Caenorhabditis elegans: one gene and its partners. The protein of the gene in region 1 purifies or fractionates together with the protein of each later gene. This does not show direct contact. Each region holds a gene or a part of one and is shown in the gene's direction. Other genes may lie near its edges.

Region 1 (7,058 bases):
AAGTCAAAGAGTAAACAGTTAAAAAGTTTAATTTTGCTTTTAGGTGTGAAAAACGTAGTTCAAACTTGTTTTGGCGGCAAGTCTTGTTTTCTGACTCCATGCTCAGTCAGATTGTACACTTTTTCGCGCATCTGACTAATAAATATTCTTAGATGGATGGCTTCAGTGCCCATGCCTCTTCGTGTTTACCCCCGCCCGGAACACCAACCGTCTCATTGCCTGGACCCTCCCTTCTTCTGGTCAGCTGACCGAACGAGTGACCCTTCTATGTCTGCGGCTCACCTATCTCTGCACTTTCTTCCTGTATTTCCCTCTCAGTTTCTGCTATCCAAGGGCTTCTCTCGCCTTCTCCCCAGCTGACAATCGTCCCAGATCCCTCGTCGCTTTTCGGCGGTCGATTCGACGCCGCAAGACAAAACTCGTGGCTCTATATTTCCACTGCACACGAAGCTGTAGGGTCCTCTTCTCTGACAATGCCACGCCTCTCTTGTCTAGATACATCTAGATTCTCCATCGCTTGTTCCATTCCCGTTTTCCCAATACTTTTCACCCTCTTCTCGCCTGTCGTCATCGTCGTTACATTTGTTGTATAGCCCAGTCAACCAAAGTCATATGCTTTCGTTTTTTCTTTGCTTCAAAAATCCTATTGATAAATTGCCGCTTCATCCAAATTGGTCACATGTTCCGCGAAAGAAACTTGGACTGTATTTTCATTTTTAATAGCTACTGGGATATCAGTTTTTCATATCATTTTTATATATTCTTCATCCAGAAAATCTAGTTTTTGAGTCATCAGAGATTATACTTCTGTAGATTATTCACCATTCCTAATTCATTTTTTATCTTTTCGAAGTTTGCAAAACCGGCGTTCATTAATACTTTCAGACATGGGATTATCGGGCGTTGTTGAAAACCTTCGTTCCCTTAAGAAAACTGTCAAGAAACCAATTGTGGCCTTCCGTGAGACTGTTCACAATGCATATACAAAAGCCTACGTGGGCTCTCCGGAAAGAGTTGATGAATTCTATAACTACATTAAAGTGTACACTCCGAGCAAACACAATGACCTTTGTATGATGAGCATTACTGCGGATATCAATCGATTTTCAATGATTCCCGATAAGAATACATTCTTCCATGTTCTCAAACTCGAGAGACATTTTGACCGGATGATTGCCACTCGCAAACAGCCGGATGTCACTGGGGATATGGCGGTGAGTGACATATCGGGGTAAATATACGGGACAAAACGAGTTATAAGAAAAAAGAAGCTAATGGAATAATATATTTGGTTCGTTCTTTGCAATAAACAAATATTTCCTTTTCAGATTCAAATCCTTTCCGGTCACAATACGACATTTATGAGCAAGTACCGTCGGTACAAAACAAGGTCAGCTGCAAAAGAACTAAAGAGAAGAAACCAGCGATTCAAGGCTCTGGACGTAAGTGCAAGTGAAAATGTGGAACATGTGGCAGTGTCTACTAACTTTTAACTCAAAACTTTCAGGTGAGACGACACACTCAACTGCCAGACTCTGGGAATGATGACTCTTGCATTTATACTAACCGAACTTCATTTGACGTTCCCACAATCAGTCTAGAAGAAGATAAATTAGATATAAAGGATGTGGTTGAATCGATGGCTAGCGATGAAATTCCAGTTGAAGAGAAAAATAAAGAATTGGAGGAATGTGAGCTTGTTCTGAACAAAATCAGATTAAACCGAACACTCCAAAAGATTGAAGAGCTGGAAAAGAAAAACGTGTCGGTTGTTTGTGAACTGACCAAACCAGAAACTGTTGTAGCCGCGCCTGTGCAAGTTGAAAATGTCATTATTTCATTGCCGGTTAAAGAAGATGATTCACTTGCCATATCTGCTGCAAAAGCTAATCTTATTCAAAAAAAGCATCAATCGAAAAGTAGTACAGAAAAGTCGATGATGTCTGTGACAAAGAAACACGAAGCAAAATTCAAAGTTGCTAAATCTGTAACTGTGAAAAAGGATAAAACTGAAAAATCTGAAAACCTTAAATCAGATGTTCCCGAAAAGACGAATGAAGTTACAATTGCAGCATCTCTTTTAGAAGATGTTATGGAGCAACTGAACTTGGATGACAAGAAGAACACAAAAGTAAGTTCTAGCTTAAAGTTTGATTTGTGCAAAATAATAATAAATAAAATGGTTCTCTCGTTATTTCTAATTAATTGTTGGGAAGCAAATTGTTCACTCGTAAAGTTTCAACAAAACTATTTTTAGGCTGCGTCACAATCGAAAATTGTGGACGATGCGAGTGATTCCGATAGTCATGAAGAATTCGACAAATGTGATCAGGATTCAGACGATGGAAGTGACATTGAAGAGTTGGAGAAAATCGAGGACAAGGACGTTGATGCTCTAGAATATGAAATGCTATAGGTGCCAAGTATCTTGCTTTTCTGCCAACGGGTACTTGTGCACTCTGTAACGTGTTTCTTGCTTCAAATTTCTCATTAACATTCTTCCGAATTTTTTCATTTTCAAAATTGTTCAATAATGCCAAAGAACCGTTTGTTTTTCTTTAGTTATTAAATTGAACAAACTGTAACTAAATGTTTTTAACATTCTTATTTGTACATAGAAATGTAACTTCTCTAATTGTTTCATATGTATTCATGTTTCAAGTATTCATTTTTCCTCAACTCCTTATATGAATTTTTGTATAAAATGTAAAAACATCCGGATTTTTCACAATTACCATCCCACCACTGCATAATAATTCTAGATGCCTGCTTGCGCATCATGGCGTCAACAAAACAAAAATGCGTTGTTGTGTTATTTGTTGACAATGACCGGTTTGTAGTAGTGATGGCAGTGGGTGCCACTGCTTTAAGCTTTTCCTTCAAGAGAAAGTGAGTAGACAGGAAAAAAAAGTGAGAAAAATAATAATAGGCTTGATTGAAATTTCTTGTCTGTTCTCATTTTCTTGCGCATGGGTAATGCGTGATACTGAAGCTCGTTAGCATTGTAGAAAACCGAAGAGGGACTTCAAGCTTGAAAGAGGGAAAGTTTTGAAGAGGTGGAAAAATGTGAAAATTGATATAGAAAATCATGAGTTCACGGTGTCAAGTTTCCAATAGAAGGTACAAATAATAGAGCAAGACCAGCACTAAATTTCAGGATAAACACTTTGTTAAAATCTCGCATATTCTAGCTTTAACTAAGTTCAACTAAAAATAGTATTGTTGAGTTTAATTTTAAAATATTTTCGCAAGTTGCGTCCTTGTGGAAGGCTTACTGTACGTATTATGAAGGTACCCACTAGGATGATCCAGTACGGAAGTAAGTCGTAAAGATTTTACCAAACGATTTTTCATAAAGTACGAATTTTTCATAAAGTCTTGTAATTCATAATCGAGGTCACATTGTTGTGGGAAAACCATGCGCTTCACCCACTGACCACCTGATTTCAATAAAAGCTTCTAATATTTCTCTTATCATTTGCTCCAAGCACTCTAGCAGAGCATCATGACGTGTTGTTTTGTTCAATTCTTTTTCTGCATCCTTTACAAAATCAAATCAAAAACAAGCGGGGAAGTGTACGGGGGGTGTGTGCAAATTATAACTCACAAGATGCTTGAGGTGGTCCACTCGTTGCCTCCTTGTTTGTATGTGTGTAGTGTTCCTCATCCTATTTCTCGTTCTCTTTCATTTTGTCTGCTTCTCTACAGCTTTTGTCCATTTATTCTTTTGCATACGATTGGCTTTTCATTTACTTTTTGCATACTTACTACATTTATCCATCTCTTTCATAATAATAACAATAATAATATTTCCAGGGACACTTCCTAACTAACCTGCTTATCTTCAAAATGTTCGAAAAAGTAATCAAACTATGGAGAGATACATTCCCAAAATCGGAGCACAAATTGATGTCAATTGAGTATGTCGCTGCGATTGAAGAATTCAATGAGTATTTCCCTGGATATGCTGCAATGAATGATAGTAACTATTCAAAACTTCAGCATTTCTTCCGTTCTCTTCACCCAATTGGATGTATTAAACCTTTCCGATTTCATTATTCATCGGCATTTGCATTGGAAAACTCATTAGATGACTATCTTCTAAAAAATGCTCAATTCAAAAGAGACGGCTTAGCTGGAGAATGGGCGGTGAGTTTCTAGAATTGTTTTAAATAAAGATGTCAAAATCTTGAACACGTTTGGCATTATTGTCTTAAATTTGAAATTAAATTCCAGTCTGAAAATTTTGAAAGTTTGGTTGGCATATATCAAATGTAGGTTTATTTTGTTAAAATGTACAATGAACTCACAAAAACATCAAATTAACTTTTTAATCCTGTTAGGAAACAACATACACCAAATTCTCTACAATTGAAAAAAAAATCGAATTTTTAGATTCACATCTTTGCCGACCACAACGACCATATTATTGAAAAATACCGAATGTACAAGAAGAAACGACTTGAGAAACTGGAACGAACTTTTGAGGAAAGAAAAAAGAAAGCAGAGAGAATGAATCAAAAGCATGAATATCGCTTGATGTGGTATTTAGGGAAGGAAGGATATTACAAATACACCAATTCACGACTGGAGAAGATGGAAAAAGACCGAGAAATTAGAAATAAAAATGGAAAGGAAATGGAACAAGTCACCTAAACTTCTGGTACTTAAAAATGTATTTTGTGTTCTTCCAAGTCGTCATTATTCGTCTACTTCTACCCATTTGACATAATCTTTTCCTCATCATTCCCCTCGTCCATGTTGTTAATTTCAATAAAACGAAGTACAAATTGGAACAGCGCAAACTATTTTCTTTATATATTAAGAGAAACACACACACAGACCACAAATTCAAGGTCTTTCTTCCAGTTTTAATTCGATAATTAGGATTGCGGTTTGTGTATAAATATGAAGTACCCCCAACTATACAAACTTTATTTTCCTTCGAAATGTCATCAAAAGTTCCAATCTTCACTCTGTCTAATGGAGTTCTCATGCCAAGTATTGGTCTTGGTACCTGGCAGGTAACATTTAAAATTAGTTTGAAGTTTAGAATAAATTAACTACCATTAGCAAGGATTTATTCAACACTTGGTTGTAATGTTACTTGAAATTGCCAGTTTTTGTACATTGATATAATTTTTAGGAATTTTATTAAAGTTTCGGATAGCTGTACCCAACAAATTTCAATAATTCAGACAAAAAATGTTTTATCGGAAATATTTAGAAGCAGAGAAGCAAACTAGAAAATAATTTTTTCGCTCAAAAATCTGTATGAGCCAAAGAAAAGAGTCCACTCTATAATTTCTCAAGAATTTGTTGTATTGGTTCAGTTGTTTACAAAATTTTGATATTTTTCGAAACTTAAAAAACAATTGGCGTCACTCTTTAAAAATCATCATTTTCTCTACTTAATAGATGACGGGAGAAGAAGGAAAAACAGTTATCCGAAATGCAGTTCTTGCCGGATATCGTCACATCGACACAGCTACTCTTTATCAAAATGAGCATCAAATTGGAGACGCTTTAGCTGAATTGTTTGCCGAAGGGATTTTAAAACGTGAAGATATTTTTATAACAACTAAAGCGTTCTGTCATGAAGTTGCGCCTGATGTTGTAGAAGAAGCATTGAGAAACTCACTGAAAAGACTTCGTTTGGATTATGTTGATTTGTATCTTGCACATATTCCCGCATCAACCAAAGACGATGGATCGTTTCGTTCTGATGTAAAAGTTGAAGATATTTGGAGAGGGTTCGAGAAAGTGTATGGTTTGGGATTGACAAAAGCAATTGGTGTTTCAAACTTCAATGAAAGTCAGATTGTCCGAATTATGAATATCCAAAAAGTTCCTATTCACGCTTCTCAGGTGACCTGCTTTCTGTTTTTTTATAATTTCTATGAGTTAAAAAATATCAAAAACAACATAACTCTGATGAAATTTTTTTGACAATCTTCATATATTTGCATCAAATTTTTCAGCTTGAGCTTCATCTCTATTTGCCTCAAAAAGCTCACAGAGAGCTATGCAAAAAACACAACATCCTCATAACAGCCTATGCGACGTTAGGCTCTCCTGGAAGAATGTCTGTCGTTGGTTCAAATGGTAGACCTTTGTTTGAAAGCACTCAAAATTCTGAAAATGAAATGAACGACAAACATGTGAAGGCGCTCGCACAGAAATACAGTAAAACTCCAGCTCAGGTAAATTTTCAAATAATCTGTTTACAATTTTGTGCCGGATTATTTTCAGATTCTTCTCCGGGCTACAGTTGAAATGGGAATTATAGTTATTCCAAAAACTACGAATCCTGAAAGAATGAAAGAAAACATCAACATTTTTGATTTCAACATTTCAAATGCTGAAGTAAATCTCCTAGAAGCGCACGAGAGAACAAAACAGGAAAGACTTTTCTGGTGGCCAAAGTATTTTTTTTTAAGCAACAAAAATGATACTGAACACTATTTTTCAGCGTTGCTGATCATCCTGAAGATCCATTCGCGACACAGAGATAACAAATGTCCAAAAGAAATATAAATACAAATTCTACTTTTGTTTTGAACCAAAATAAACAATTTTCGATCTGTTCAAAATATTTTATCCTTGGAAATAAGGCACTAATTGGAAACAGGAATTGTGCTGCTACCATAATTTTGAATGCTGCTCGTATGTCTTATACAAACTACTTTTTTCATCGGGACAACTTTTGCACGGTGCAATTGAATGGATACTACAATTGATTCAATCGCTCTGCCAAACATTTTGGAGCAGCATCGTATGGTCCCATTTCCTGAAATTTTTAAATGGCTCTCAATTTGGATGTTCTCATAACATATCAAATTTGTTCGTTTCGGTATAAAGAGTTATGATACTCTAGTTTGATTATACGATTTTTTTTTAACGTGCGAATGCACTTGCGTGGATTCGATGTATGATGGTTCAAACTATGGGAAAAACTTAAAATACAAAAATCATTAAAAAAAATCATATGTAAGTTTGTGTAACATGCAAACGTTTCAAACTTGCCAAAATTTAAAAAAAAAACCTTGTACGTTTTA
Region 2 (8,366 bases), 6.4 Mb from region 1:
ATTTGATTTCGCCATAAAATTTGCTACTGATTTGACCCCCATATCGACAACTTCAAAATTTTAGAAATCGACGTCCCAAAATGCTCATCGAGCTCTATCTCGGCTCAAAGTGACGTTAGCTCAAATTTGATAAAAAATTTGAATTTGCGATAAATTTTGCTACTGATTTGACCCCCATATTGATATTTTTGAAATTTTGGAATTTGACAACACCAAATGCTCATTTTGAAAAATCGATTTTCTAGGCCTCAAAATAGGCTTATTTTGAGTTAAAAAACATTTTTAAAGCCTAAAAGCTTAAAAGCTTAAAATATTTGTAGTCCCGACAATTTTTAGACAGTTTTAAAAATGAGTCCCAGTGGCGCAGTATGTTAGAGGCGCGTTTACCACGCACAGGTCCAAAGTTCGAGTCCCACTGCGGTCAATAATTTTTATTTTTATTGTGATTCTTAATAAAACATTCCAGAACCACTGCCGAACGCTTTCCCGCTCAGCCCTCTTCAACCCAGCCCGGCAGACTGACCCCCCGGCACTCGGCGATGTTCAACTGTGCTCGTGTTACGGTGACCGGTGTAATTCTACAATAATGACGTCATCATCAATATTTATCGTCTTTTTATTAGTTTTTCTACATCGGTTATTGTATTGAAAAAGATTTTCTAAAAAATTTTTTTTTTGTGAAAAAAATTGCAATTTTTTTTTGAATTTATTGATTTTTACATGTCTTTCTTTGGATTTTTTTTTTGAAATATGATCTCCGTTTCTCTAGATGCCCATTTTTATGTTGGATATATGTATTACGGGTTTTTATATAAATATATATATATATTGGAAACACCAAACATTATTGGTTTTTTTTTTTGCTATTCTAACTGTAAGTTTTATTGCAAAAAGTGAATAAATTTTTACGTTCTTTTTTCTGAAAATTGTTTTATTTAAAAAAAAACAAAAAAACAAAAAAATTCAAAGATTTTGTCCAAATGGCTCAGTGGGATTTTCGCCGAACAAACTAAAACTACGAGAAAAAGGTGAAAATTGAGTTTTAAAACTTTAATTTATGAAAAATCTAAAAATTTGTGAGTTTTTCGCATATAAAAACTTAAAATTTAACTTAAAACCGTGATTTCTTATAATTTTCATCATTTTTCTGAATTTTTGAAAAGTTCGGTACAAGTGGCTCAGTGGGATTTTCGCCGACTACCAATCACAAGACCGGGGTTCGAGGCCGCGCTGAGGTCAAAAATTTTTGTAGTGGTTTTTTAACGTTTTTTGACAATTCAACTACGTAGAGTCCAAATTTTTAAGTGTTAGAAAACCAAAAACTACAAGAAAATGGTGAAAATTAAGTTTCAAAATTTCAATTTTAAAAAAGTCTAAAACTAGAGCTTTTTACATATAAAAACTTAAAATTTAACTTAAAACCGTGATTTCTTATAATTTTCATCGTTTTTCTGAATTTTCGAAAATTTTGTCCAAGTGGCGCAGTGGGATTTTCGCCGACTACCAATCACAAGACCGGGGTTCGAGACCGCACTGTGGCACAATTTTTTTATTGTGATTTTTAAACGGTTTTCGGATAATTCCACCATGCGGAATCCGAATTTTCAAGTTTTAGAACACAAAAACTACGAGAACATTATGAAAATTGAATTTTAAACTTTAATTTTTTTAAAAATCTAAAATTTGTGAGTTTTTCACATATAAAAAATTAAAATTTAACTTAAAACCGTGATTTCTTATAATTTCCATCGTTTTTCTGAATTTTCGAAAATTGTGTCCAAGTGGTGCAGTGGGATTTTCGCCGACTACCAATCATACCTCCGGGGTTCGAGTCCCCGCTGTGGTAAAAAATTTTTATTTTGATTTTTAAATGGTTTTCGGATAATTCCACCATGCGGAATCCGAATTTTCAAGTTTTAGAACACAAAAACTACGAGAACATGGTGAAAATTGAATTTTAAACTTTAATTTTTTTTAAAATCTAAAATTTGTGAGTTTTTCACATATAAAAATTTAAAATTTAACTTAAAACCGTGATTTCTTATAATTTCCATCGTTTTTCTGAATTTTCAAAAAAATGTGTCCAAGTGGCGCAGTGGGATTTTCGCCGACTACCAATCACACCTCCGGGGTTCGAGCCCCCAGCGTGGTCGAATTTTTTTGTATCTTTTGTATTTTTCTCCAAACAAGTTAATCATGCAAACTTCATATGTTTTTCACCTGAAAATTGCCAAATTTTCTGCACTATATTCAAATTTATTAGCATTTTTTCTAGAATGTACACGTGGAAATCACTACTAAATTATGGTAAATAGCGTAGCAAATCATCATCAAATCAAATACTAAAAGATTCTCCGCATCCACACGTTCCTTTAATATTAGGATTTCGGAAAACGAATTCCGACGATAGCTTATCGGTGACGTAATCCATTTCTGAGCCGAGTAGCGAGAGCTGAGCTTTTGGTTCGATCCACACTTTGATTCCGTCCTGGAAAATGGGAAAAATTGGGGGATTTTTCATCGAAATTAGTGAAAATCCGGGTTTTTTGTGATAAATTTGAGCTAAAAATCCAGATTTTGAGGCAATTTCTACCTGCTCAACTTCCTCGTCAAATTTCTGCTTATCCTTTGCATATTCCAGTGTATATGTTAACCCATTACAGCCTTTTTGTCGAACTCCGATCTGAAAAAATTAAAAATTTCATCATTTCCGGCGGCGCAAAAATCGAAAAATCGAAAAATCGACGGAAAAAACGAACTTTCAACGCATTTGCATCATTCTGTTGAGCCAATAACACGCGTATTCTGCTGACGGCTTCGTTGGTAAGTGTGAGAGCCGCTCTGAAACTTTTTCGGGGTGAAAATTGGCAGATTTCCGGGAAAATTCAGAATTACCTCGTTTGTCGGACTTTTAGCGCGCCTTTTATGACTTTTGCAGTTGCTCCACCGAATTTTGACATCGGAAAATTGAAAATTTAGTCGAAAAATGAGTAAAATAGCGAAAATTCCAGAAATAAAATGAAAAAAAAAAAAAAAGTGACAACGTTGCTCCGAAATCCCGGCCACGCGTGTAGTTTACCGTAAATCCAAACAAGAAATTTTTTGTCAAAATTGCCGAAATCAAGCGATTTTTAAGCTTTTTTTCTGTAAATTTTTTACGAAAATATGAAAAAATCAACGTTTTCATGCTATTATTTATTTTTCCCCTGTAAAAAACCTTTGAAATCATCGAAAAACCCTTAAAATCCAATAAAAACCCAAACACAACGACACTCCGCTCACCTCCCACCGCGTGTTGTTTACCGTAAATCCACACACAAGAGCAATTGTGCAAAAAAAAAAAACCCCGTCCAACCGGAAATTGTCCCAAAATTCTTCATTTTCTATCGATTTTCTTGCATTTTTTGTGTTTTTTGTGAATTTCAGGCTCAACATTTCGAAAAACACGGTTAAATTTTAGGGAAACCGCTCCGAAATTCGGTTTTTTTCGCTAAAAAAAAAGAGAAAAAAAAGAAAAAAAAAAATAAAATCTAAATTTTCAGGCTCCGAAATGGCTGCCACTATAACAGATGACATTGTGGCGACAGTTTTGGAGTCAATTGAGGAAAAGTCGTACGAAGATGAGAAGGAGAAGGCTGGAATGATTAAAGATGAAGCTAATCAGTTTTTTAAGGGTATTTTTTGGAAAAAAACCGATTTTTTGATGAATTTTAAAGTATTTTCCTGCTGCAGATCAAGTGTACGACGTGGCCGCCGACCTCTACTCTGTCGCAATTGAGATTCATCCGACGGCGGTTCTTTACGGAAACCGTGCACAGGCCTATCTGAAGAAAGAGCTCTACGGAAGTGCTCTTGAGGATGCGGACAACGCGATTGCAATTGATCCGTCATATGTGAAGGGATTCTATAGAAGAGCTACCGCCAATATGGCTCTGGGGCGGTTTAAAAAGGCGTTGACCGATTATCAGGCGGTTGTTAAGGTGAAAATTCACTTTTTTTGGGTGTTGAAGAGCGGAAAAAACGGCGGTTTAGAAACTATTTTTCACCCGGTTTAAGAGAAAATTTCGAAAAAATATATCAATTTTCACCTCCAGAAAGTCGGAAAACGCGAAAAATTTGAAATTTTGCTTTTTCAATTTTGGGCGCTGCTAAGACTACAAACTACAAGATTTTGGGCGCTGCTAATTCAATTTTGGGCGCTGCTTAGACTACAAACTACAATATTTTGGGCGCTGCTTAGACTACAAACTACAAGATTTTGGGCGCTGCTAATTCAATTTTGGGCGCTGCTTAGACTACAAACTACAAGTTTTGGGCGCTGCTAATTCAATTTTGGGCGCTGTTAGACTACAAACTACAATATTTTGGGCGCTGCTAATTTAATTTTGGGCGCTGCTTAAACTACAAACTACAAGTTTTGGGCGCTGCTAATTCAATTTTGGGCGCTGCTGACAGCTTTCGGCCGAAAAAATTGAAAAGAAATCGATATTTATGAAAAAAAAAACCAATTTTTATGAGAAAAACGTGATTTTTGATAATTTTTCTCTCAAATTTAGTATAATTTCAAAAATTCCCGTATTTTTCCCCGAAAAAATTTCCATTTTTTTGCAGGTTTGCCCCAACGACAAAGACGCTCGCGCAAAATTCGACGAATGCTCGAAAATCGTCCGCCGACAGAAGTTTGAAGCCGCAATTTCGACGGATCACGACAAGAAAACCGTCGCCGAGACTCTTGATATTAATGCAATGGCTATTGAGGATTCGTATGATGGTCCACGGCTGGAAGATAAAGTACGGGTGGAAAATGGCTGTGAAAATCGATTTTTAGACGGAAAATTGATGTAAAACCGGCAATTTTGACCCCGAAATTCAATTTTCAGAGCGGAAATTGCGATTTTCGGTGGAAAACTGATGTAAAAATCAATTTTTCATAGAAATTTGATCTAAAAAACGGTCCAAAAACATAAATTTTTGTGAAAATCGATCTAAAAATACGTTTTTCAAGGGTAATAGGCCAGAAATTCGAATTTTTTTGCGAAAATTAGTCCAAAAAATCGATTTTTCAAGGGAAAAGTGGTCCTGAAACTATTTTTCATAAAAATTAATTTGAAAATCTATTTTTCACTGCAATTTTAACCCAAAAATCGATTTTTCACAAAAAAAAACTAGCATTTCCGGTCAGAAAACGTGCAAATTTCCAATCTTTTTTGGATTTTCTGGAATTTTCATTAAAAAATTGGTCCAAAAATCTATTTTTCATAGAAATTTAGTCCAAAAGTCAATTTTTCACGAAAAATTCGCCTGAAAATCATTTTTTTTTCATAGAAATTTAGTCTAAAAATCGATTTTCCGCAAAAAATACAGAAAAAAAGTGAATTTTTCGTTAAAAAAAAGCGAAAAATTGAGTTTTTTCCCGTTTTTTCCGTAAAAAACCGCAAAAATGATCAAAATCCTTTTCAGATAACCAAGGAATTCGTGTTGCAACTCATCAAAACGTTCAAAAATCAGCAAAAATTGCACAAAAAGTACGCGTTCAAGATGCTCCTCGAGTTTTATAATTATGTCAAATCACTGCCAACAATGGTTGAAATTACGGTGCCAACTGGCAAGAAATTCACGATTTGCGGTGATGTTCACGGACAATTCTACGATTTGTGCAATATTTTCGAGATTAATGGATATCCATCGGAGACTAATCCATATGTACGGGGAAAGCGCTGAAAAATGAGAGATTTTGACTGAAAATCCGGGAAAATTGAGGAATTTTGAGCTAAAATTCATAAAAATTTCCAATTTTTGACCGAAAATCATGAAAATAGGCAAATTTTGTGATATAATCATGTTTTCTAGTGAAAAACCTCTAAAAATTGAATTTTTTTGCAGAAATTATTGAAATAAGCTCAATAAATCGACATTTTGATTGAAATTCGTGAAAAAATTTCAAACATTAAAACCAAAACAGCTGAAAATTGAGGAATTTTCACCAAAAATGCGGATTTTCAGATAAAAACCCTGAAATGATTTTTTTTTTCAAAGTTTTGGCAGAAGTCATTGAAAAATTCCGAATTTTTAGCAAAAAGCAAAAAAATTGCCAATTTTTGACTTTAAATTTATGAAAAATGCTCGATTTTTTTACTAAAAACCGCCTGAAAGCCAAAATTTTGTCAAAAATCTTGAAAAAGTCGAATTTTCTACAAAAAACCATCAAAATTTCGAAATTTTGACTTAAAAATCAATGCAAAATATTTTTTTTTCACTAAAAAGCTGAAAAATGCTCTTTTTTAATGCTCGAAATTTTGGCTAAAATTCATTTTAAAAAATCCTGATTTTCACCAAAAATTGGCAATTTTTCATCAAAAAACTTGAAAAAATTTCAATTTTTTGCTGAAATTGCAGAAATACCACAAAAATTACCAAATTTTGACTCTAAAAATCACGAAAACACCTAATTTTCACCCCAAAAACCCCCGAAAATGGCCAAATTTTCACTTAAAATATGTGAAAAATGCTCAAAAAATGGCCAAATTTTCAGCTTTTCAACGGTGATTTCGTGGATCGTGGCTCATTTTCCGTTGAAACAATTTTCACAATGATTGGCTTCAAACTTCTATACCCAAATCATTTCTTTATGTCACGTGGAAATCACGAATCTGACGTCATGAATAAAATGTACGGATTTGAGGGTGAAGTTAAGGCGAAATATACTCAACAAATGTGTGATATGTTTACGGAGACGTTCTGCTGGTTACCATTGTGCCATTTGATTAATGAGAAGATTTTTGTGAGTTTCTTCACGTGAAAAATGGCCTGGAAATCTGGAAAATTTGAGGAAAATGGCCCAGAAATCGCTGAAATCCTGGATTTTTCATTTCTGGGCGCTGCTAATTTTCTGGACGCTGCTAATTTTTTGGTCACTGCTAATTATTTGGTCGCTGCTAATTTTTTGGGCGCTGCTAATTATTTGGTCGCTGCTAATTTTTTGGTCGCTGCTAATTATTTGGTCGCTGCTAATTTTTTGGTCACTGCTAATTATTTGGTCGCTGCTAATTTTTTGGGCGCTGCTAATTATTTGGTCGCTGCTAATTTTTTGGTCGCTGCTAATTATTTGGTCGCTGCTAATTTTCTGGGCGCTGCTAATTTTTTTGGTCGCTGCTAATTTTCTGGTCGCTGCTAATTTTCTGGTCGCTGCTAATTTTCTGGGCGCTGCTAATTTTTTTGGTCGCTGCTAAATTTTTGGGCGCTGCTAAATTTTTGGGCGCTGCTAATTTTCTGGGCGCTGCTAATTTTTTGGGCGCTGCTAATTTTTTGGTCGCTGCTAATTATTTGGTCGCTGCTAATTTTTTGGGCGCTGCTAATTTTTTGGTCGCTGCTAATTATTTGGTCGCTGCTAATTTTTTGGGCGCTGCTAATTTTTTGGTCGCTGCTAATTATTTGGTCGCTGCTAATTATTTGGTCGCTGCTAATTTTCTGGTCGCTGCTAATTTTTTGGGCGCTGCTAATTTTTGGGCGCTGCTAATTTTCTGGTCGCTGCTAATTTTTTGGGCGCTGCTAATTTTTGGGCGCTGCTAATTTTCTGGTCGCTGCTAATTTTCTGGTCGCTGCTAATTTTTTGGGCGCTGCTAATTTTTGGGCGCTGCTAATTTTTTGGTTGCTGCTAATTTTCTGGGCGCTGCTAATTTTTGGGCGCTGCTAATTTTTTGGTCGCTGCTAATTATTTGGTCGCTGCTAATTTTCTGGTCGCTGCTAATTTTTTGGGCGCTGCTAATTTTTGGGCGCTGCTAATTTTCTGGTCGCTGCTAATTTTCTGGGCGCTGCTAATTTTTTGGTCGCTGCTAATTTTTTGGTCGCTGCTAATTTTTGGGCGCTGCTAATTTTCTGGTCGCTGCTAATTTTTTGGGCGCTGCTAATTTTTGGGCGCTGCTAATTTTCTGGTCGCTGCTAATTTTCTGGTCGCTGCTAATTTTTTGGGCGCTGCTAATTTTTTGGTCGCTGCTAATTATTTGGTCGCTGCTAATTATTTGGGCGCTGCTAATTTTTTGGTCGCTGCTAATTATTTGGTCGCTGCTAATTTTTTGGTCGCTGCTAATTATTTGGTCGCTGCTAATTTTTTGGTCGCTGCTAATTTTTTGGTCGCTGCTAATTTTTTGGTCGCTGCTAATTTTTTGGGCGCTGCTAATTTTTTGGTCGCTGCTAATTTTCTGGGCGCTGCTAATTTTTGGTATTTTTCCAGGTGTGCCATGGTGGATTATTCAAAGAAGACGGTGTAACACTGGAAGATATTCGAAAAACTGACAGAAATCGTCAGCCACCAGATGAGGGTATCATGTGTGATCTACTTTGGTAGGTTTGTAGGAAAATGGCTGAAG
Region 3 (7,106 bases), on another chromosome or scaffold:
TTCAGGTAGTTTTCTGTAGGGAAGTGGTGATCAGTCAAGTGACATTAAAGATGAATAAACCTACAAAATTACATTTTACTTTATAAAAAATAGGAGATTCGTGTCAGAAGCAGGAGGTATTTCCGGCAGTCACTCTCTTTTCTTGATCTTCTGAAACATCGGGATACAAAGTGATATCTGACTTTTTAAATAATGTTTCAAAGATACATAGTGATCTGTGTTAGGTGTTGCAAAAGTCAATGACGTCATGCATGATTTTTCCGAGGCTCCGGAGAAAAGGAATGAAGTTTTTGGGATTCTATGAAAGTCATTTGATCATCGGCATACAAAGTCTGATACCTGAATTTCTAAATAATGTTTAATGAATGTGTGAAATTACGGAATCATTCGTATCAGATGATGCTAAATTTGGATCCAGAATCTTGTAAAAGTCAGGCAGATACGACAAATGTGTGTCGTTTAGTTGTTTTGAACATTTTTTATAAAAAAGGAAACGCTTTCAACTGGCTCACAGATTATCAATATGATTAAATTACCGATCTTAAATCTTTATCTAAAATTTCAAATCCCTTCCAGGAATCGCCGATGTTCTCCACTGCATCTGTCTCTTCTGGATGACATTTCAAAAGTATGTCATCCATGGGGACATTCTCGGTTATGTGACTCGTATGGCAAGCATCGGAACCTGTGTCCTCTACCTACTGAACATCGCTGGTGGTGCTATTATGGCAGTCAATAGATACTTTGCAACCTTCATCACGTTCCATAACGTATGTTGAAGATCTGAAGTTCATACAATTTCAAAACTTTCAGTCATTCTCCAAAAGAAACATTAAATTAATCTTGTCATTGTCCACTGTTGGAGCTGCAGTCTGCTCAATCCCCTCAATGGTTTGCCACAGAGTTTGGAGTTGGGATGGAAGTGCATGGAAATATTCAACTGAACCTGCTTACATGGGAATTGTAAGTGTTGCAAGATTTTTTTTCTAAAAATGTGTGGAGTTTCCAGATCCAAAGATATATCATCATTGCCTGGCTTATAATTTTCCTAACTATCACCTACGTCTACATTTTCATGACAAGTTTCCGAATCCGAGAGTTTCCAAGAAATGAGCGATACCACAAAAATGATCATACCCTGCTCTACTTCATCATCATCCACTCCTTTTTCCAATTCTGGATGCTTATGTACGAGCTCTTCGAGGCATTCACTATCACCTGGGGAATCATCATATTCATGCATGAATGGGTAACCTAAGTCTGCTCGCAGCCCCCTTACAAACTTTTTTTTCCAGTTCTTCGTCGTCTTCTACATGCTAACCGTCTCCAATGCAATCTTCATCTTCCTCTTCACACCACGTGTCCGCCGTGATCTCTCGAATTTCATGTGCCAAGTAATGGAAATTTCCATTCGAAACGGCACCTCTAACACCATCCCGGTGCTCAATGTGTCCGCAAAGTATTGAAAGGATTTTGATGTTATAATTTCTGTGAAATTCTATTTATTTGATCGTTTATTTATTTAAGTTACAACATTAATAATAATAAAGCATACAATCCAAAAACCAAGAATGACGATTCCTGCAAGCAAATGGAAAGCACCTCTAGATGTTTTGCAACTGCCTACCAGTTAGCATGTTAGTCTTATCATTAGTCTACGAACTGATAAGCTTATTATCGTTTGACAACAAGTTCCTCATTCAGTTTCGCTGCTATGATTCTTCTGGGAATCGTTTTACTTATTTCCTATGCTTTTTGTCAAAATGTACCAACTGTGATTTTGTCCGGAGAGTCGAGAATTGTTTCCAGGAGGATTCTTGAAGTCGATCTGGTAAGTGGATTAAGGGAATTAAAACATTATTAACCCGTCAGTTTGAAACAATTATATTTTATTCTTAAGGAACCTATACATCATGACATTCAAAACGGTTCTGTTCCTAATTTTTGTTCACTTATTTTATTGAATACATTCTAATTATTCTTGAACAAAATCTCAGCCTAAGTTATTCGTACAGTGTCGGTCCTGGAGCAATGAATCAAAGTTTAAAGAGATTTCAATTTACACAGTAAGAGCTTCGAGGCGAAGCCTCAAACCTGAATAGTCAAGTTTTCTAAACATATACCCCACTCCTGAAATAATTTCAAAGAGATCTCGAATAACCCGTTAACAGGTTCGAGGCAAAGCCGAGAACCTGCGCCAGCTACCTTGCTAATAACTTAGAGCGAATTAACCCTATCCCCATTCCCGAAGGGCTGGCGGGCCCATAGGCCCGCTAGTCACCTAAAATGATGATATCGGGTGGCAGGCATATATGGATTTTTTAACCGACCAGTTAAAAACTGATATTTTAAAAAGGTGATGCTAAAAAAATTGTTCAATCAATCCAATCTTCCAGGGAACAGCGCAACAACTACCTGTATTTCATGATCAAAACTTTGATAGAGTCCCTGTGCAAGTTGTCAACCGGCAGGACCCCAATGAACACTGCGACACATAGTACCCTGCGACAGTATATAGAAGAATCCTAAGACGAGCTAGAGTATTCAGAGATCGACAAGGACAGCTCACGGATCAATGGGAGCCGCTTGGAGATCCAGTGGAAGTGGAGTCTTGGACATTGACACGGAAACAAGGGAATACTGGAAAATGAGAAAATCGTCTTCAAGTTTTTCTCTAATATTGTAATTTTCAAGTTTTATTGATTAAATTTGGTTCATAAAAATTTATTTGTGTTCGACAACATGGGTGAAGCCGCATTGTTCCAGATGTGTAAAACTGTGTTGTCCTAAAAGATCAAAGACCCAAGCTTGACAAATCTGAAAAAAATGCTTTCAGCACTCCCCGCAAAATCACATGATTCGATCATCAATTTCCTCTTTGCGGTTTTATACAATACCTTCAGACAATAGGAACAATTTTCTGTCTCTTCCATATCCCTTTTCCCTTTCATTTCCCATTTATTTCCCTCTGTGTGTCCAAGTGCCTGTGTTCTTCTCCTTCTTCTTTCATCTTAACAACATCTTCCTCCGACTGCGTTTGTACACTTTCACCTGTTATTCCCTATTTACCCTCATATCCTAGATTGAAATCTGCATACTCTCCCAGTATAAATCAAAAGGTTTACTTTACTGTTTCATAGTTCCTTTTTATTAGAAACTACACATTTATATTACAAATAACTAGATGTTTCGGTGTTTTAGTGGTTATGTTTTTTTTAATAATTTTTATTACCTTTCTAGAATCTTCCAAAATTTTCTCGAATTATTCTGAAGGTTCCAGAACCTTCCAAAATTTTCTCGTATTTTCCAGATAGTTCTAGAACATTCCGGAATTCTATCTAATTTTTCAGAAGGTTTTAGAACATTCCAAAACTTTCTCGTATTTTCCAGATGGTTCTAGAACTTTCCGCAGCTTACAGGCACAAAATTAATCCGGTCTTGTCCAAATTCCTTCTGAAATCTTAATCTGTAGGCTACAAATTTCTCATTCCTATCGGACTTTCAAAATCTTTTTCGTAGAACTATTCGTCATTCAAATACATGCACTTTTAAAATTTCCTCTTTGGTTTTCCTTCCTCTTTAGCCTATTTCACCGAATTTTTGAGATCAATAATTCCATGTGTCCGATTTTCGAATAATTTAATATTCACTATCAGTTTTCACGTATCATAATTCTGGAAGTCGATCAAAAAACAATGTTTTGTACTCTACATTTCTGTATTTAAATATTGTAGAGGTTCACAATACATGTTCTCGCTCTTCAGAAAATTCCGAATTCTATAAATGTCGCGGAACCATAATTATTTGGCCTAAACCGATTTCAAATACCTATGTTAATTCTAGGTCAATCCGGTGGTTGTAAATCATCGACAATAACAATATATACGACCTACTGTACTAGTAGGTTGTAAATACTGTAGTACTACCACACCACAAGAGGCGTTCTCTTAGCAATACATTTGAACCTTGACCCTTGTTACGTCTCTTTCTAGGATAGAAGAAATCGGGGAGATGTACTTCAAAGGTGTGCGGTCTCAAAGGTCACAAAGGTGTCTCAAACATTTATATTATCCGGAAAATTTCCTCACCGTCGCTACCTCATAATTAACAAATTAAACACCTAAATAAATTTCAGCAAAAGAAAAATGACTCAAAGCGACTATATCGAAAGTTCGGAACACATCAAGGACACTCAAATCGGTTACTGTAAATACGGCCACGGTCCGAACTACATTCTCGCGATTTGCGGTGCTGTCGGCTGCTATAAAAAAGATTGGCCACTCAAATTGCTCTCTCATTTCCCACCAGATCAGGTCACAATTGTTGGGATTGATCCTCCAGGTTACGGTACCTCAAGACCTCCAGAGCGAAAACAAGAAGTTCAGAGATGTATGAAGGATAGTGAATATTGCCTAGGGTTAATGGAGGTGAGCTTTTAATTTTGAAATTAAAATTTTTACGTTTTCAAAAAGCCTCCAAATTTTAGACCCTGAAACTAGAGCCGTTCACCGTGATGGGGTGGTCAGAAGGTGCTAGAACAACGGTCCACGTGGCAGCTAAAGGAAAGGAAAAAGTGAATCGAATGATTGTAATGGCTGGTGCAACAAAAGTTAATCATCTAGGAGCCATGGCTTTCAAGGGTGAGATATTTAGATATATTTGGAAGATTACTGTTTTTTAATGAAATTTCTTAATTTGACACCAATATGGCCCATTTTTCCACATAGAAGCAGCAATTTATGCCTACCTACCTACAAGATTTTTTATGGGAAAATAAATCGAACGTCCATTTTATGGGTGTGGCCATCTATTGGTTTTGTGCTCTTTATAAATTAATTTTTGGAATTTCAGGAATGCGTGAAACAAATCATTGGCTAGCAGCCGGTCGTCAACCATATTTGGACCATTATTCGCCGGAAACACTCCGGACACAATGGGCGGCACTTTGTGACGTCGTAGATCAGTGAGTTTTGTGGGCGGGGCTTATGCGAAGTTGTGTATATTCCTGTAGGCACAAATATGTCTGCCAACTACCTTCAAGGCGACCTACGTCTGCTTCCTACCTAACCAAACGAATTTTCAGAGTTCACTCGTTCTGCGGTGGCCGTTTCCCGTGTGACCTGGTACTTCCACAAGTCAAATGCCCGACACTAGTGATGAATGGTGGATTGGACCGGTTCTGTGGTGACCCGAATGTATGCTTCATCCCAGTGCTCAAGAGTTTGGCAAAAGTTGAGATTCATGCACAAGGAGGACACGATTTTTATTTGAAATATCCCAAATGGTTTTCCGGAAAGGTTCTGGAATTCTTGAAGAGCACGGAGAAGAAATGATAAATATATGAAATTTGTATTTTGTATTTTGTGAAGAATAAAGTTTATAAAAAATTCGTCCTGGTCTCAAGCAATTTCGCTATTACACTCATAAGCTCCACCCACAAAATGACTGATTTCATTAGGAATTTTGCCAAAAGAAAATTTCAGAAAAAATTCTAAAATTTCCAGAAAAAAAATCTTCCCGTTCACAAAGGGTTTCTGTCCGAGCCTTGTGGGCGGGGCCCATGCGAAGCCCAATTAAAATTTTTGGGACAGTATACTTTCTGGAAACGTCCGTGAAAAAGTTTATACAAATTTATTTCACAAAAATAAAAATAATTACGGACTAGCGTGACTAACAGGCTTCCGGCGAACATTCTTTGCTCTTGTCGCCAAAAGTAGTCGTCTCTGCTTCTTGAGCACTCGAGCCAGCACTCGTTTCCTGTACTCATCCTCTTTATTGTACTCTGACACGTAACGGCTTTGGGATGCTGTGGCGTAGCTTGTGGACACTGTAAAAAATATGTTGAAATTTGAAATTTGAGTTTTTTTAGGCCGTAATATCAGCCCCGCCTACTTAATGGAAAAAAGTAGCCTACCTGGTGCCGGCTGCACATAACTATTCCGATTGACTCCTGCGTTCTTTGGTGGACACGGACAATATTCAGCATCCTGCCCCGGTGGCCCACGAACTCCTGGATAGCCAGTAACTCCAGGTACCCCTGGTTCTCCATCCTGTCCAGCTTCTCCCTGAACTCCAGGTGTTCCTGGTGGTCCTGGAGGCGGTGTATATCCAGGTGGCCCTGGTGGTCCGCATTGACCAGGAAGTCCTGGAGGGCCTTTACGGCCTGGTAGGGATATCTGACGGATCGAGTTATTTCCAGGCTCTCCCTTAAGGCCTGGTGTACCATTGGGACCTTCCCGTCCAGCTTCACCACAAGGCCCCGGTGGCCCAGGAAGTCCTGGAGGAGAGGTGTATCCGGGATTCCCTGGGAGCCCGGGAATTCCAGAAGGTCCACAAGGCCCAACGGCACCAGGAGGACCTTGTGGACCCTGGGGACATTGTATGCAACCTGGAATCTCTTGATCGTAAGCTATAAGGGTTACACCATTGGCTCCTGGACGTCCATCGAGACCCCGAGAGCCCGGTTCTCCAGGAGCTCCAGGGTAACCAGTGGGGCCTTGTGGTCCTGGTGGACAATTGTTGGCTTGTGGGGCACAATCTGAAAATTGAATTTTGTAGTTTGTAGTCTCGTTTTTAGTTTTTGCCCTTTTATCTTTTCCGTTTTTCGCAAAATTCTATAAAATTATAATTTTCTTCTAAAAAAAGAGATACAAGATGTTCAAATAGTCAAATTGTGACCAAACTCCGCCCAAAAAATGGATATTAGGCTCCGCTCACAAATGTATCTTGCTGAACGAGCTTTCCCATTTTTTAAACGAAAATTCTCACAGAATCCAAGCTCCGCCCGCAAAATGGATGTTATTTTTTGAAGAAAAAAAACTAACTGCATTGCTGTTGTGTTGGATGCTGTAAAACGGGTGCAGTCGCATAACTATTCACTCTTGCATACGAATTCACTTGCTGCGGAGCATAACTATCATAAGATCGTTTTGCCCAGAATCGTTTTCCGGCATTTCCAGAGTTTCCTGTCGTTGATGGACTTCTGGCTTTTCGAATTGTCAGTGACGTCATTTCATTCCACGCGGCGTCGGAGAAGTACTGGAAAACTTTTTTGTCCAGGTGCAGGCAAATAAAAAGTCTGACCAACCTTCCATTCTTTTAAATCA
Region 4 (8,592 bases), on another chromosome or scaffold:
TTCAGAACCAAGTCTCCAAGTTTTTCTGAACGTTACGCAACTTTGATATCATAAAACCTGCAACGATCTGTGAAAAAACCAACATTTGGGAGTTTCTTCTTTTGTACTGAACACACTTTTAACAGTGAATCGAAATAGTTTATTGACTTATAATCAGTTTTTGGTACAGTTCTCAAATTCCATAACACACTTCGGTTGCACATGAACAGCAAAAATGATCGGAACTTGGACTGTTGTGTTCTGAAAATTAGAGTGGCCTCAAAAGTTTATTTTTTCATTTCAGGAGTAGACTATATATCTGAATCTCGAATTAACTTTAATAGATGTGGATTTACATAGTGTTAAATGATACTTTTTAATTTTAAAGAAGTACCCATATTTTTCATTTTCAGTCCATCATAACACTTATCGTAAAATGTAGATCAAATGCAGAATTCAATTAAATCGTAATGTTTTGTCCTCGAATATACTCTTGTTGAGAAGTCAAAATCCAACTAATAACCTTTTACCTCTAAGCTTCTCTTTCTAGTTTCCGCCGGCGTCAACCACATTTTCACCGAGTGATCTGCATCCATCACATCCGTATTTGGAAGATGACCTCCATTAAATTGAATTTCAAACGATTTCTGAAATACACGCTCATAACTTTCACCAGAATAAAACTCAAATACAGTCTCTCCTGGCTCCATTATGCCAACCGGCGGATTCACTTTGAGCAATGGTCCGAAACTAGTCTCCCAACCAAACTTCATTCGTTTTTGAAAACGATTTGCTACTTCCAAAAACATCGTTTGATCGCGAGTATCATCTTCGAATATTATCTGTTACAAAACGAAACATTGAAAGAAAAATATAAATTGTTTATACCATTTGTTGATCACCTTGCGAAAGTGTTGTCATGATGATAGGTTTTGAAAAGAATTAATAAAAAGCATTTATTGTTGTCGTGGAATAATTTTTAAAAAATTCAAAATCCTAATTATGAACGTGAGATTTTTAAAAGTTAGTAAACCGGTTTTAATCTTTTATCCCTGCGATAATCGAACTGACTGACAGAATCAGACATGTGCTCAGCTTGACGGCTTGTTGAGGTTCTGAAAAATAAAGCAGTAGGTGAGATGAATAAAAAATTATTCTTCAATTTGAAACCAATACCTAAAAAAACTTGGCTTACCTCATTGAATAATTTGCACGAGAATCACTATATTGTGTTGATTGAAGTTCATATTTTTCTGGCAATCGTACATCTTTCCGACCATTTGCATTTTTAGAATTTCGATCTGCTCCTGGTTCTCGATGTTCAACTATCCGAAGATGGCCAAGTTCAACGTATCTAAAATTTTGTTTTCACGGCCTTCCAATATGAAAATAAAAACCTGTTAGCATTTCCAATATGTGCATAATTTGATGCATGAATTCCAAAAAATAAAAGAACTCCAAGAATGATGAGAACACATCCAACCCATCCGATGACATACCAAGAGAATGCTGTGGAGGTAAGTGCACAGAATTGTTGCACATCTCCACCGCACATTCGAAGATTCTGAAATAATTCATTTGTTGACTTTAATTTTCTCAAAATGATAAAGTTGTTGTTCATAAACTTTAGGAAGAATACTCAAAAAAATCCCAAATTTTAACATTTCTCCAATTCAACCTACATATGTAAATGTGGAACTTATTAAATTGCTTTCTTTTGAGAATCCTAAAACTTAATACTCACCGAGTTGGCAAAGGACGAAACTAATGGCCAGAAAACATGAAGATCTATACAGTCACCATCTGTATATCCTGGAAGATTCATGCAGAGCCGATCGAAGAAATAATAAAATATACAAAGCCAAGATACAATTGAAATAATGAATAGCCATGCAATTATCTGAAAGTTAGTTTTAAAATTATACGTTTACTGAGCAATTCTTACTAGAAAGAAATCGATCAACATTGCGATGACGCATGCAAATTTTCCACCACAGCGAGCTTCATCGTCTGAAAATATTGTACATAAGTTCTCCTAGATCATTGTCATTTTGAACCTTTATACATAGTTTCTCTTGTTCCTCCAGTTGCAGTAAATCCGATGCATAAGAAGAAAAGTGAGAATAGTCCCATTAAAACTGCGATTACAATAAAGAAAACTTGAACCTTGTCAAGCCATGGCCAATCATTTATTTTCAGAGATCTTCTGACTTGCTCTGCAGTTGCATTAAATGCCCAGGACATCATAATTGCAAAGAGAATAACTCCAAGAATGCATAATAATGATCCAATAAGTGATGCATATGGTATTCGATGAAAACAGTCATCTTCTTCTGCGTCCGCATTCAAATGAACGACGGCGGCGTTCTGCGAACGTCTTTGCGCCGCCTCTTTCGTTGATCTTGACACTATTTTGACAGTTTGAAAAATATTATTTCAGATGAAAAATAAGAAACAAATGTAGCCGTGGAATAATTGTAATAAGCAAGTGCAAGCGGGCACCGGGGCAACAAAAAGGTATGTATGAGTGTGTTTGTTTGTATTGCGATCGAAATTGGAAACGGACGCGGAAAGGTGAGATAGTGGGTTGGGAACAAATTTAAATATTGAGACGCAGACAGCTCGCCACGGATGGTCAGTTTTAGCGGAGGAAAGCAGAAAGAGGAGAAGATGATGGTGAGTCATGTTTGCATGATCTTCGATGAGAATGTCGCAAGGTGCCATTTGAAAGTTGGAACAACTCATGTATGACGCAATTTTACATTTCCTCTGGGTGACTTGTGGTGTTATTTTCAATTTATTGAATCAGTAGGAAACACACACATTTTAAAATGAATGTGCATGCAATTGTGATGTACGATGAGCTGCAATCATGAACATCTGGGAAAAAGAGTTGAAGAATACAAAGGAGTCTGCTGCCGTTTCATTGAACACTTTTCAGCGGCACCTGCCAACCGGATATACATTGAGAATTTTTTTGAAAGTGGAAATATGAATATATACAGGTTACTGTTTTCTGAGAAATGGTTAAATTTTGTTAAAATTATATTCAGGAGTTCTTTTTTTCAAAGAACTTCTTAACTTTTTCATATATGGTGACATGGGTTTATCTATCACACAGCCTGAACGCGGTCTTCACAATTGATTTTTTGAGCATTTTTAGGTGGCATTAACTGTAGATGACCTCGTTTTCATCACCTCTCGCAAGCCCTTTTGAGTTTGAGAAAAGCTTATTGAGACTTATGTACTAATATCAAATATTATTCGCAGTAGAATTTGAGCGCTAAATAAATGAGTTGGTGTTTGTGCTCAGTTTACTTCACAATTTGCAAAAACGAAATACATATAAACACAGACTACACAAACTTGTTTGTCCCCTTTTTTACCAATTTGCTCGCCCTCTTATCTATGTCCTACGGTGTAAATTGGAAAACAGACTATCTTATCATTCTGAAAAACGATTTAACTTTAACATACATGTTACCTCATTTTTCTGCAGCGTTCTTCTTGAAAATGGCACGGTTTTTCCTTTTTTTGGCGTTTGTGGAAGTTAATTCTATTATTTCACCTCCTAATGAAATTATCGAAACATCTGTGGAAGTATTCAATCAGTGGAAAGAAACTAGAAATGCGTTTATGGATTCAATGGGTTAGTTTATTAATCGTTCCATCTAACCCTTCAAGTTCCGTGTTACAGAGTACCCAATGGGCTTTCCAAACTTCAATTGTCCCCAACCTCATCGAAAATCTTCCGAATCTGTACATCAGCTTCATCCATCACAAATTGGAGTGATAGCAGCACTAGGCGATTCTGTGTCAGTTGCACAAGCGGCGAAATCATCGTCAATTCTCGATTTATTTGATCAGTTTCCTGGTGTTTCGTTTGTAACAGGAGATGATGTAAAGCTGAATGAGCAAGCCACCTTTATTAGTAATAATTCGTTTTGACTTTCACTTACTTGCAACAGAAGCTTTTCAGATATTTTCCGTAAATTTGCACCGCGAATAAAAGGAGGATCCTCTGATTTTGTTCAAAAGTTTTACGACTTTAACATGGCGATTCCTGGCTCATTCAGCTCGGAGCTTCCCGAACAAGCGCTCAAATTAGCAAGTACATTGAAGAAAAAGCTGGGTAGAGAAACATCTGATACATGGAAATTCGTTAATATTTTCATCGGTCATAATGACTTGTGTAACATTTGCAATAATGAGGTAAAATAACCATTTCACATCGGAGCTAATTTTCATTTCCATTAAAAAATATTTCAGACTACCTTCGGGCCTGAAACATTTGGAAAGTCACTTCACTCGGCACTTACAATAATTCAAACAAATGTTCCAAAGGTATTCGTTAACATAATGCCACCAATAAATGTCAAAATTCACTCACAAGCTCACAAGTTGAGTAAGTTCTGCGAGTTTTCACATAGGTTTGTTTTTCAAAATTAAAAAAAAAATTAAACATATAATTACAGAAAAACATGCTCGTGTATTTTTGAATTAAATGAAAAAGAATATCAAAACATCAAGAAACAATTCGATGAACAATTGAATGAAGTTGTAGAACAATTCAATCAAAAATATGGAAATTCATCTACATTTGCTGTTGTGATTGCTCCAGCCATGGATCTAAAATCAATTCCGTTACTTAAAAACCAGCCGAATATTGGACTATTGGCACTCGATTGCTTCCATCTTTCTCCAATTGCTCATGATATTGCTGCGAAACAAATTTGGAAAGGATTGTTCGAACCAATTGATCAAAAAACAATCACTAATCAATTATCAGTTGGATTCGATAGATTCGTGTGTCCTCCTGTTGAATGTCCGTACCTAAGAACGATTCAAAACTCTGAAAACTGTGAGCCATCAAGAGAAATGAGATTTCTCCGAGTTCCTTCAGCTTTTGCAAGCTCTCCTGGTTTAAGCATGCCTCCATACATGATTCCTGTATTTTTCCTTTTTGGTGAGTTTGGTCTGGGAAAAAATACGTTGCTTATTTTTTTGTGAGGCGGCTTAGATTAAAAGCAGCTGCTATAATAATCAATAAAACCACTTTTCAAATATTTTCATTGGGAGAAAGTTTCCGTTTTCGCTTTTTCAGAGATAAGAGATATAAAATAAAGGGGCACCAATAAACATATTTTCTCAAAAACGCTAGACGCTAATTGCCTGCCCTCAAGGCACCTACGCCTGCGTCTTGTGTACTACCAAATTTGAACTTTTTCACTTTTGAAGATTATGTAAACATACTATAAGAAAAACGGTTTAAAAATATATCAAAAATACTCTGCACGGTGAAAAAATCTAACACCTGAGTTCAAGCTAAAGTTCAAGAAAAAAGGCATAGATGTAGGCAGGTAGATATTCTGTCACTTATGACTAAAAATATGTCTTAGCATTATTCAACTTTTTATATAAACCGAAAATATTTTGTTCCTAGGTACCGCTCTAATACTCCTATTTGTTCGTGCTTCCATCCGCAGTTCTACGACGTCTTCCGAGTTTTCCGATGAACGACATCATCTACTTCTTCCGCTGCGTGCCGACCTCAATGACAACATTTTCTAAATGGTTTCTAAAATGTACTCATGCCACTTGATGAGACAGTTGCGTGAACGATGAGAACGTCTAGATTTCCACTTTTTATAACAACTACCAGCACCCTTCTTACTCTTCCTAATGATGTCACACCTATGCGGGTTTTATTTCGAATGGCGTAATGCATTCTATCTCACTACATCCATTAATGTTGCCTACTGTATTTATTGTTTTGTGTAGACTACATATCAGTCCCTAGTGTAGTATCATAATGAAATGGCAAAGAGGAAATAAATGGAAGTGTGTCTGTATGTACATATATATCTCCAAAAAGCGATTCATTCAGAAAGAGACAGAATCGAAATTGAGAGAATGAAGAGGAGAAGGAAACCCGATTGTGATTACGTAACCGAGTTTCTTTCAGAATCAATCATAGTGGACAGAGGTGATAAGATAAATTGAGGTAAAAAGATCCGATGGACATGAGAACCAGAGATTTATTATTACGTCATCTAAAGTTCAAAATGGCTTTAAGAAGTTAGGATACTCGATCATAAAATGTTCTTATTAGGTGACACACATTTAGAATAATGAGTCCGATCATATATAGTCAGATATTCTCTTAGTTTTCCTCATGTTTCCATCAACTTTAGTGAAATTTTCCGAAGAAATCAAATCTGAGCCCCTGAAATTTCCATCAGAAACTGTTTCAGTACATTTTTTGCTGAATTCGGTATTGTTAGATTTTATTTTTTTAAATCTTTACAGATCATTTTTCCAAATAGTATGAGATTGTTTTTCTGGAACTCCAAATATTCAATCCTCAGGCTATGCATAGATTTCTAGGTTTGCTAGAGTTGATTGAGAAGTTGCGGCGAATTGTCGAGATTTCAGACCAATTATTAATTTTTCATTCAATACCGAAAAGTCTACGCAGCTTTTCAGTTTTTCTAGAAATTACAAGATCCATTGTTGTGGACTTGTATGTTCATCTAAAAAGACAATGTCAGCCACAGTCGGTCCATTCTATATATCCAATTTATCTACTAAAGGAACTCGTTTTTTTATTTATCTTTTGCTTTTCTTTTTTGCTTCGTCCTTTTTCAAAAGGCTTTTCCTTTCCTGTGGCGGCGGCGGCGGGCGGCCAAAACATCTGTGGCGTCGTGCCCTCGTCGATTGCGCAATGCTTCATCTTCATATCCTCTCAGCTTTTTCTTCATCTTCTGGAGACGGGTTTAGCGGTGTCGCGCCGTTTCGTCACGTTGTGTCGTCAGGGTGTCATGACTCGAGAGAGAAAATGAAAGAGGAAGGCATGTAATTGTTTGTGATGGGATATGCAATTGCCAATCAAAAAGGTTAGCGCCTTGAAAGTGAAAGATGTCTCACCGGAATAACCGCTTCATCTATGTATTCCGTTTATTCAAACTATTTCAAACAAAACAATTGCGAAGGTCATGACCATCAAACTCTTCATCATTGTAATTCAATTGAAATTAAGAAAATTGAAACGAAACTCCCAAACCACAATCAACTAGTAGTGTTCTTGGCAAGTGTGACCATAAAGATGTACAACACCTAGTATATTCTTAATTAACAATCACGGCATCTTTCCCCTTGTCTTTCAAAGCAGCTTCACACCAGTCTCTGTGTCGCCTAGATTATACTAGAAATTACACATTTTGCCCACGCACCGTTACAGAGAGAGAGGCCCGTCGACCTTTTCCAGTGTTCCTCTCCCTCCGCCTTCTCTCTTCCAAAATCTTCTTCACCAGCTTCTCCCGCTCCACGTCTTGGCCACGCCCCATTCGGCTTTAGTTAGCAGTGCTGGGCTGCCCACTAAGATCCGGTCTTGCTAGTCTATACCTTCTTACCTTTCCATTTTCTCTCTATCTACCATTATTATGATCTACCGATTTGTGGCAACTGTTGCCATATTGGCAGCCAACGGTGAGCTCTAAGTTCTATTATAGGTTAATGTAGAAAGTTTAGTTTCAACCCATAGTTTCAGTTATCCACTGAAAACACGAATATATTGCATTTCTAGTACCACTACCATTTTCAAAATTTGAAAATTATATATTGTCTTTCTGTTCCGCACCCCATCACTCAAACTTGAAAGTTTTTTTTCCGTTAGACTTGAAAATATCCGTAATCTTTCTAGAATGAAACTAGAATAACAGATAATGAATTTATGTCAGTTGACAGATTTAAAAAATTCTGATATAGCTGCCACATGGTGCAAGACTCATAGTTAAATACGGTAGCATATTTCCCAAAAACATTACCATCATAATTGTCAAGAAAATATTCAGTTTGAAACTTAAAAAAAACGTTTTTTAAAATTTAATTTCAGCTCACTGTCAATACTATCAATGGCCAGAACAACATCAACAATTTAATAATTTCAACGGATTCCCGCAATTCCAACAGCAACAGTTTCAACAACCACAGCAGTTCCAGCAGCAACCACAATTCCAGCAACAACAACAAAATTATCAGCAATTCCTAGCTCAACAACAGTACCAACCACAATTCCAAGCTCAGCAACAGCCTCAGCAACCACAATATTTCCAACCACAGCAACAGCAGCAGCCTGTACAGTACCAACAACAGCAACCACAGCAACCACTTCAATATCAGCAGCAACCACAACCAGCTCCACCACCAATCTACTCACAAACTGTTGTTATCCCACAAGCTCCACCCCCACCACCAGAGGCTTATCAGCAACAACAATATGGTCCATCTCAGCAGAATCCAGTAATGGTTCAACCAGCCGATATCCCAAGATATCATCAGAAGCCTCAGCCAGTTCCACAAGTACCAGATGTTGCATTCCAACATGTGAATACTGCTAGAAGTGTTCAACAAGTCGATTTTGATAATAAATTGTTCCGAGAGCAACCAAATTCATTCACTCAAAACCAAGAAAAGGTAATTATGGCACAAAATTGATTTTATGCACCAAGTCAAAAAAGTTTCCTCCAAACTTTAATTTAATTTTGTTTAAAACTATTATTTTGCCAAACAGGATGTTTTGGATATGATTGAGAAGTTCGAACCATTAGTTCA

What was found.
Region 2: the proteins of ZC443.2 (region 1) and pph-5 fractionate together in Caenorhabditis elegans (co-fractionation; one large-scale study listed by BioGRID). This does not show direct contact.
Region 3: the proteins of ZC443.2 (region 1) and K01A2.5 fractionate together in Caenorhabditis elegans (co-fractionation; one large-scale study listed by BioGRID). This does not show direct contact.
Region 4: the proteins of ZC443.2 (region 1) and F13H8.11 fractionate together in Caenorhabditis elegans (co-fractionation; one large-scale study listed by BioGRID). This does not show direct contact.

The regions. Positions count from the first base shown.
Region 1 is NC_003283.11:12,807,950-12,815,007, reverse strand, and holds ZC443.2 (uncharacterized protein), read left to right. Parts: upstream 1-3,815; 5' UTR 3,816-3,849; coding exon 3,850-4,149; intron 4,150-4,268; exon of another isoform or gene 4,269-4,395; coding exon 4,396-4,656; 3' UTR 4,657-4,796; downstream 4,797-7,058. Other genes in the region: ZC443.3 (Glutamic acid-rich protein-like), read left to right, coding at 888-1,214, 1,329-1,442, 1,508-2,131, 2,258-2,416; ZC443.1 (NADP-dependent oxidoreductase domain-containing protein), read left to right, coding at 4,950-5,024, 5,419-5,868, 5,982-6,203, 6,253-6,425, 6,473-6,515; ZC443.7 (Serpentine Receptor, class BC (Class B-like)), read right to left, coding at 6,731-6,790.
Region 2 is NC_003283.11:19,187,005-19,195,370, forward strand, and holds the start of pph-5 (Serine/threonine-protein phosphatase 5), read left to right. Parts: upstream 1-3,542; 5' UTR 3,543-3,550; coding exon 3,551-3,674; intron 3,675-3,732; coding exon 3,733-3,980; intron 3,981-4,611; coding exon 4,612-4,791; intron 4,792-5,460; coding exon 5,461-5,703; intron 5,704-6,532; coding exon 6,533-6,781; intron 6,782-8,230; coding exon 8,231-8,340; intron 8,341-8,366. Other genes in the region: hot-2 (Homolog of Odr-2 (Two)), read left to right, coding at 467-649; Y39B6A.3 (Iron-sulfur cluster assembly 1 homolog, mitochondrial), read right to left, coding at 2,336-2,488, 2,594-2,683, 2,760-2,847, 2,896-2,960.
Region 3 is NC_003280.10:298,270-305,375, forward strand, and holds K01A2.5 (AB hydrolase-1 domain-containing protein), read left to right. Parts: upstream 1-4,135; 5' UTR 4,136-4,145; coding exon 4,146-4,427; intron 4,428-4,486; coding exon 4,487-4,640; intron 4,641-4,851; coding exon 4,852-4,963; intron 4,964-5,083; coding exon 5,084-5,333; 3' UTR 5,334-5,390; downstream 5,391-7,106. Other genes in the region: B0432.1 (Serpentine Receptor, class T), read left to right, coding at 577-770, 814-963, 1,010-1,249, 1,296-1,466; K01A2.6 (AMIN domain-containing protein), read left to right, coding at 1,715-1,831, 2,397-2,498; col-69 (Nematode cuticle collagen N-terminal domain-containing protein), read right to left, coding at 5,655-5,827, 5,915-6,538, 6,825-7,038, 7,088-7,106.
Region 4 is NC_003280.10:6,254,856-6,263,447, reverse strand, and holds F13H8.11 (Lipase_GDSL domain-containing protein), read left to right. Parts: upstream 1-3,426; 5' UTR 3,427-3,492; coding exon 3,493-3,628; intron 3,629-3,676; coding exon 3,677-3,910; intron 3,911-3,958; coding exon 3,959-4,191; intron 4,192-4,248; coding exon 4,249-4,409; intron 4,410-4,454; coding exon 4,455-4,945; intron 4,946-5,422; coding exon 5,423-5,550; 3' UTR 5,551-5,835; downstream 5,836-8,592. Other genes in the region: F13H8.12 (MSP domain-containing protein), read right to left, coding at 154-240, 510-626, 672-821, 868-900; nmgp-1 (Neuronal Membrane GlycoProtein), read right to left, coding at 1,004-1,094, 1,175-1,333, 1,377-1,543, 1,724-1,879, 1,925-1,989, 2,037-2,226; dbd-5 (uncharacterized protein), read left to right, coding at 7,422-7,467, 7,874-8,454.